Linked DNA regions of Tribolium castaneum. The protein of the gene in region 2 binds, or shares a complex with, the protein of the main gene of each other region. Links are inferred from orthologs where the notes say so. Each region holds a gene or a part of one and is shown on either strand. Other genes may lie near its edges. The genes, in order: vacuolar protein sorting-associated protein 41 homolog and Vps39.

Evidence for each region.
Region 1: Vps39 (region 2) and vacuolar protein sorting-associated protein 41 homolog share a complex: the UniProt entries of both Homo sapiens proteins name them as parts of the homotypic fusion and vacuole protein sorting (HOPS) complex. The link is inferred for Tribolium castaneum from reciprocal best matches to the Homo sapiens genes VPS39 and VPS41.

Annotation. Positions count from the first base shown.
Region 1 is NC_087401.1:16,023,698-16,027,526, forward strand, and holds part of vacuolar protein sorting-associated protein 41 homolog, read left to right. Parts: intron 1-2,750; coding exon 2,751-2,923; 3' UTR 2,924-2,930; intron 2,931-2,931; exon of another isoform or gene 2,932-2,946; coding exon of another isoform or gene 2,947-3,177; intron 3,178-3,228; coding exon of another isoform or gene 3,229-3,501; intron 3,502-3,558; coding exon of another isoform or gene 3,559-3,799; intron 3,800-3,829. Other genes in the region: ciliogenesis-associated TTC17-interacting protein, read right to left, coding at 2,947-3,177, 3,229-3,501, 3,559-3,799. UniProt on the Homo sapiens protein: Plays a role in vesicle-mediated protein trafficking to lysosomal compartments including the endocytic membrane transport and autophagic pathways. Acts as a component of the HOPS endosomal tethering complex.
Region 2 is NC_087402.1:12,351,412-12,355,240, forward strand, and holds part of Vps39 (vam6/Vps39-like protein), read right to left. Parts: intron 2,965-3,829; coding exon 2,536-2,964; intron 2,486-2,535; coding exon 2,186-2,485; intron 1-2,185. UniProt on the Homo sapiens protein: Regulator of TGF-beta/activin signaling, inhibiting SMAD3- and activating SMAD2-dependent transcription.

The DNA.
Region 1 (3,829 bases), on a different chromosome or scaffold from region 2:
ATAAAATTTTTGTCAAATTTTTAGATTTATTGGCTTATATTTTAAGAAATTATAGCCAAATAGTAGATTTTCCGCGAAACAAACGCTCGGAAAATTTAATTTTTTGTAATTTTGGTCTAAAATTATGTTTAAATACTCAGAACTTTAAAAAATAACGTCATTTTTGACCTAATTTTCTGAATTATTGGGTTATTTTGTGAGAAATTTTACGAAATGATTGAGTTTTTGCTGAACAAAAGATTGGAAAAGGTACATTTTTGGTTATTTTTGACCAAATTTGGTGATTTTTTCGTTCTAGTTTAACAAAAACATGCAAAAAATACTTAATTTTTGGCTTTAAAACTTGCTAAAACACCCAGAACTTGCAAAAATAATGACATTTTTGCCCCAATTTTCCGATTTATTTGCTTACTTTGTAAGAAATTTTGCGAAAAATGGACTTTCTACGAATCAAATATTGAAATTTATAGTTATTTTCGACCATATTTGTGGATTTTTTGTTCTAGTTTAACAAAAACATGTAAAAAACTTAATTTTTTTGGCTTAAAAACGTGCTAAAATATTCAAAAATTGCAAAAATAATATAATTTTTGTCAAATTTTTTGATTTATTGGCTTATATTTTAAGAAATTATAGCCAAATGGTGGATTTTCCGCGAAACAAACGCTCGGAAAATTAAATTTTTTGTAATTTTGGTCTAAAATTATGTTTAAATACTCAGAACTTTCAAAAATAACGTCATTTTTGACCAAATTTTGTGAATTATTGGGTTATTTTGTGAGAAATTTTACGAAATGATTGAGTTTTTGCTGAACAAAAGATTGGAAAAGGTACATTTTTGGTTATTTTTGACCAAATTTGGTGATTTTTTCGTTCTAGTTTAACAAAAACATGCAAAAAATACTTAATTTTTGGCTTTAAAACTTGCTAAAACACCCAGAACTTGCAAAAATAATGACATTTTTGCCCCAATTTTCCGATTTATTTGCTTACTTTGTAAGAAATTTTGCAAAAAATGGACTTTCTACGAATCAAATATTGAAATTTATAGTTATTTTCGACCAAATTTGTGGATTTTTTGTTCTAGTTTAACAAAAACATGTAAAAAACTTAATTTTTTTGGCTTAAAAACGTGCTTAAATATTCAAAAATTGCAAAAATAATATAATTTTTGTCAAATTTTTTGATTTATTGGCTTATATTTTAAGAAATTATAGCCAAATAGTGGATTTTCCGCGAAACAAACGCTCGGAAAATTTAATTTTTTGTAATTTTGGTCTAAAATTATGTTTAAATACTCAGAACTTTAAAAAATAACGTCATTTTTGACCTAATTTTCTGAATTATTGGGTTATTTTGTGAGAAATTTTACGAAATGATTGAGTTTTTGCTGAACAAAAGATTGGAAAAGGTACATTTTTGGTTATTTTTGACCAAATTTGGTGATTTTTTCGTTCTAGTTTAACAAAAACATGCAAAAAATACTTAATTTTTGGCTTTAAAACTTGCTAAAACACCCAGAACTTGCAAAAATAATGACATTTTTGCCCCAATTTTCCGATTTATTTGCTTACTTTGTAAGAAATTTTGCGAAAAATGGACTTTCTACGAATCAAATATTGAAATTTATAGTTATTTTCGACCATATTTGTGGATTTTTTGTTCTAGTTTAACAAAAACATGTAAAAAACTTAATTTTTTTGGCTTAAAAACGTGCTAAAATATTCAAAAATTGCAAAAATAATATAATTTTTGTCAAATTTTTTGATTTATTGGCTTATATTTTAAGAAATTATAGCCAAATGGTGGATTTTCCGCGAAACAAACGCTCGGAAAATTAAATTTTTTGTAATTTTGGTCTAAAATTATGTTTAAATACTCAGAACTTTCAAAAATAACGTCATTTTTGACCAAATTTTGTGAATTATTGGGTTATTTTGTGAGAAATTTTACGAAATGATTGAGTTTTTGCTGAACAAAAGATTGGAAAAGGTACATTTTTGGTTATTTTTGACCAAATTTGGTGATTTTTTCGTTCTAGTTTAACAAAAACATGCAAAAAATACTTAATTTTTGGCTTTAAAACTTGCTAAAACACCCAGAACTTGCAAAAATAATGACATTTTTGCCCCAATTTTCCGATTTATTTGCTTACTTTGTAAGAAATTTTGCAAAAAATGGACTTTCTACGAATCAAATATTGAAATTTATAGTTATTTTCGACCAAATTTGTGGATTTTTTGTTCTAGTTTAACAAAAACATGTAAAAAACTTAATTTTTTTGGCTTAAAAACGTGCTTAAATATTCAAAAATTGCAAAAATAATATAATTTTTGTCAAATTTTTTGATTTATTGGCTTATATTTTAAGAAATTATAGCCAAATAGTGGATTTTCCGCGAAACAAACGCTCGGAAAATTTAATTTTTTGTAATTTTGGTCTAAAATTATGTTTAAATACTCAGAACTTTCAAAAATAACGTCATTTTTGACCTAATTTTGTGAATTATTGGCTTACATTTTAAAAAATTTTGCAAAATAATTGAATTTCTTTCCACCACACGCTTGAAAAAGGTGTTTTTTAATTAATTTTATGATTCAGAAAATAAATTCTTTCGTTCTTCATGGAAAAAAATGTGGTTAAAAGCTTTAAAAGGGGAAAAATTAAAAAAAAATCCTCTAGATTTGGCGATTTTTCCTTTATTTTTACGGAAATTTCGCCAACAATTGCCTTTAAAAACATCTTTCAAGGTATTGGCGTGTCGGAAGAACTAATGTGTGGCGCTTGTCACCACATGGTGCTCGAAAAGGACCCATCCAGGTGTACCAACATAACAGTTTTCAATTGCAAGCACGCCTTCCACGAACAATGCCTCCCTGAAAACACCACTCGATGCGGCATCTGCTATCCATCCGATAAATAAAACAACGGTAAGCCAACAAATAACTAAATATATTTCCAAAAATCGTAATCTTCATCATCGTCCACATTGAACGGTCCTTCGAAATATTCACTCTGTGGCAAAAGGGCCGGCGTAAAAGCCAGGAAATACTTGGCTGTGAATTGGAAAACGTCCTCTGGTTTTAATTGGAGGATTGTTTGGACGTAATCTGAGATCATTTCACGCACTTCTGGCTGGTCGTCTAAATAATTAGCGATTTGTTTTTTACTCATCATCTGAAACATTTTTGTGTTTGTGTCTTTTTTTTTCACCCTAACTTTACTTACTTTCGCGTCCAAATAAAGTGAAAGTAACTGGATATCATCCTGTAGCGGTTTTTTCTCCAAAGGTATCTTGTTAAAGGCGCTAAGATCCGTCAGAGGATTCAACTGAAGGATATAATTGCAAAAATACCACTCTTGTTTGAGTATTTTCCCAGTTAAAGTCATTAAAGTGATGCTTTTGTGTTTAATGCCACATTCTTCAATTATCGTGCGATAAATTTTGCACACGTCCACTTTTTTGTTGTTGATCATGCCACTAGATGGACCTTTACATTCCTGGATTTTTTTCACTTATTAATTATTATCGTATTTTTTTTGCAAAGTGTTACGTACGTAAATATTACGGCATAAATTACCATTGATGTACAAGGTCGAGACTTCGAAAAAACCGACAAATTTTGTTAGGGCCAAATAGCGCATCAAGACAAAATTTGCGCCTTCGCAAATTAAATTGTGCGCTTTGTGTGGACTGTAGAATATGTCTTTTCGTTTGTCGTGACGTAAGTAATAGAAATTTTCTTGCGAGCTGACGTATAAAGCTTGTTGGTCGAGTCCGTCGTCCATTTGGACGTACCTGAAAAATTATGTTCAGTTTTTGTTACTT
Region 2 (3,829 bases):
AACACTACAGTTGAAACAACTTTGCCTAAAAATGCAAAAAAAAACGAGTAAAAAGGTAATTCAATGATTTGACAGAGATGACAGTACTGAAACTACAACAACCATTTGACCAAAGCGGCACATTGAATTTAAATTCCACAGTCGACTTGATGAACAACCATAAGGGGAAATTTTGTCAAAAAGTGGTCAAAAACTAATGAAACCTGGTTTACAATACATATATTTTCTTTGAGAGTTTCAACACGTTTTTTAAACGACAAAAATAAGCAAAAAGACGACATCTGAGTAACAATTTTGTTTTAGTTTAAGGCTTAGGAATGTTTTTAGGCTAAATCCCATCGAAAACTCATTACACGCCTATTAACTATGTTTTTCGAAAAATTGTATCACAAATTTTTAAGCAAGTTTTTAAGTCAAACTTTATTTTTCGAGATTTAAAAATTACTAAATTAAATTGAAAAAATGGATTATAGCCCAGTCAAATTAGACAAATCGGTGGAAAAAATTCCTAGAGAGTTGTTTTAAAAGCTTCCTTTACACTTGTGTAGACATATATCAAAAGTCCCCGAAGTTGCGGGGCGAGCTCGAGGAGAGGAAGGGGGTTAAAGCAGTCTTTTTTGGTTTTTTGCTTTTATATCGGAAACTGTTACTCCTATCAATTTTTCTCTTAGCGAAATTAAAGCCAACAAAATTTCCTACAAAATGGTTATATGCATTTTTCTTATAGGACTAACCATAAGCGAGATATTAGTTTGAAAATAATTAAGAATTTAAAAAAAATGTGCTGTAAAAGAAAATGTCTTTCGATTTAAAAAACTGACAATAAACTGAATATATTGGGTCCAACACTTCATTAGAGGAGAAAGGAGGAGATATAGGGGTCACAGAAGTCCTTAGAATCGTCTTTAAATGCTGCATTTTCGTCTTCCCCTCATACATTGAAAACTGAATTACAGTCTTGTTCAGTAAAATATTAATAAATAGATGATTTAATATAGATGTTTTAAATAAATCTTATAATAAATTGTATGCATTGAATCCAACAGTTCATTCTATCATATCTTCTGGGTCATCTTCAGATGCTGAATTGTGGTCTTCAACTGGAAAGCCCGAGGGAAGAAACTATTTTTTTCCTTTATTTCCCACTCTTAGCTTAGGTGGAAAACGCTTTATACACTATTTCCATATAAATACTATGATATACTAATGTTTAGTTATACAGTGTCATGTAGACATTAAACTTCAAAAGCTAGTAACTTACGGTTAGTCCTACAATAATGAGGCTAAGACCATTTTTTAGGAAATTTTATCAACTTTAATTTTGGTAAGAAGATAAAAATTTATAGGGGTGACCGTTTCCGAGATATAAGCAAAAAAACAAAAAAAGACAGCTTTAGCTCCCTCCCTCTCCTCGAGCTTGCCCCCCACCTTTGGAACTTTTGATATATGTCTAACAACATGTAAAGGAAACTTTTAAAAAAAATTCCAACTCTCTAGGAATTTTAAATTAGTTTTAAAATTTGTTAGCTCAAAATTAACCACAAAATCATTAAGTTGATTAAAAATTACATTGTTTTTACACATTTTTTTATGCCTTTCGATGCATGATAATTGGTTATTTATTTTTAAACGAAATTAAATACGGTGTGATAAATTAAAACTAAAAAGACGTCGATCCGATTTTTACTATTTTCAATTATTTTCAGAAATTTACATTATACAGGTGATTTTTAAAAAACGGCAGATGCTGTAGAATTTTCATTTATGATCCGATTTCAAAAATAAAAAAACTATTAAATAGCTTCTTATGTAATATAAAATGATGCCTCTAAAATTTTTCAAAATATCAGAGTATTTGGGGTTACATTCACCTTTTTTTAATTTTGACCCACATTTTTCTTTTCATAATTTGGAAGATATTATTTTTTTGGTACAAACATGTGTACTACGTTCAGCTTTTACTAAAAATTGTTTTTTAAAAAAATGTAGGACGTTGAAAAAAATTATAAAAGTTAATACAATCTAATGGCATGGTGCCAATAAAAAATATTTACGTTAAAAATAATTATGTTACAACAAATATGTGGGAAATGTTTTTGAAAAAATATTAACTTTAATGTTTTTTTCTTTCAAATTTTTGAAGATATTTTTTTCTTGCACGTTTCAATTACAAAAAACAACTTACCTGTGTTTCAGATTGAAGCCGATGTCTCATCTCAGTTAAATAATCAATAAGTGCCAACAATCCCGTTTCTAATTCTTTTTCAGTCAAATCTTTTGGTGGTTCAGGATAATCTGTTGAAACGGTTTGTTGTGGAAGTAAATCAGGGAACAGTCGAATAACATCATATGGATCAGTTTCAAGTTTCAAAAACTCCTTCATACTTTCACGAAATTGCTTATTCACAAATAAATCATAAGCCAACAAAGTCTGAATCTGATGAATTTTCTCTTTTTTGTCTTCTTCATTCTCATTTGAAATTTCCTGTATTATTGTTTTTTTAATTTTTTAGTCAACTTAATTATTTCACTTACCGTCAATTTCAAAGCCAACTGGAATTGCTTTGATTCCAACAAAACTTTTCTCTGTTTTGCGACATCTACAGCTCGAATACACCAAACTTGACTGACAGAAGCCGCATAGAGTAGACCTTGTTGACAGGTGATAATAAATCTGACCTTGGAAAGGTCTTGTAAGGTTTGAACCAAACCGCATGGTTCCAAAGTTTGAACTTCAATACATTCGGAGAGAACGCCAAGGGCAAAAGGTTCATCCCATGCCAAGGTCAGTGGAACATCTGACCATCGCAAGGCCTTGGTTTTTTCCGTCTGACCTTTGGTATTTACGAGAACAGTTTGCGATTCGCGACACAATGCAAAAGTTTTTTCGGAGGCCTTGACAATACAAGGCTCACTAGATCGGCTACTGCTAGTCGGGAAAAGGTCAGTTTGTTGGCCATCCAACTAAAATTATTTACATTTTGTATAATTTATTTGTTTATTACCGCTTTGTATGTATCTTTGCAGCAATTAGTTGTCTAGATATACAGCGTGCTTAAAAACTGCTGCACCAACTCAATGGTGTGTGGTAGAGAACTGGTTACATATAAAGATAAAAATAGTAAAAAAATTATTTGTATTAAAGTTATTGATAAATAACAGATTTTAGATGATAAGTGGTAACGAATTTGAGCAACAATAAAAATAAATTATTTTTGAAACGGTTTCCTAGGAAATAATTCCCAGAGTTGACACATCTACACTGTGATTTTTTGGATGAATTTAAATTTTTTTAAATTCAAAAAACTGCTAAAATCTGATAGTAAATTTAAAAATAATTATTCATCGTTTTGTTACGGAACGATTACCTGGTGTATGAAACATAAAAACATAAAAAAATAATGAAAAAGTTAACACAATAAGTTTGTAGCTCCAGATTTTTTAAAATATGACTTTAGGAATTTTTTCAACATTTTTCCCGTAATCTGCACTTGCTTCTTAATAACGTACCACTGAGTTGGTGCGCCAGTTTTTGAGCATTCTGTATTCTAAACTTTGTTCTATTTTTTTCTAAAATTTTATAAAATCAGCAAAAAAACAGAAAATTATTGCATTATTTTCGGCCTTTTTCGATTGTTTTAGTACATATTTTTAATCTAAAAAGTGATTTTTCTGATAATAATAGAACGAAAGAGATGTTACTTTAGCTTTTTTCGCTCGTTCCGAACCATTAGATATTATCTATTTCGCAAAATGTTTAGAAAACAAGATAATGTTCAAATAAGTCGAAAACTGCCTTATTTTTAGATTTTTCGAGTGTCTTACTAGT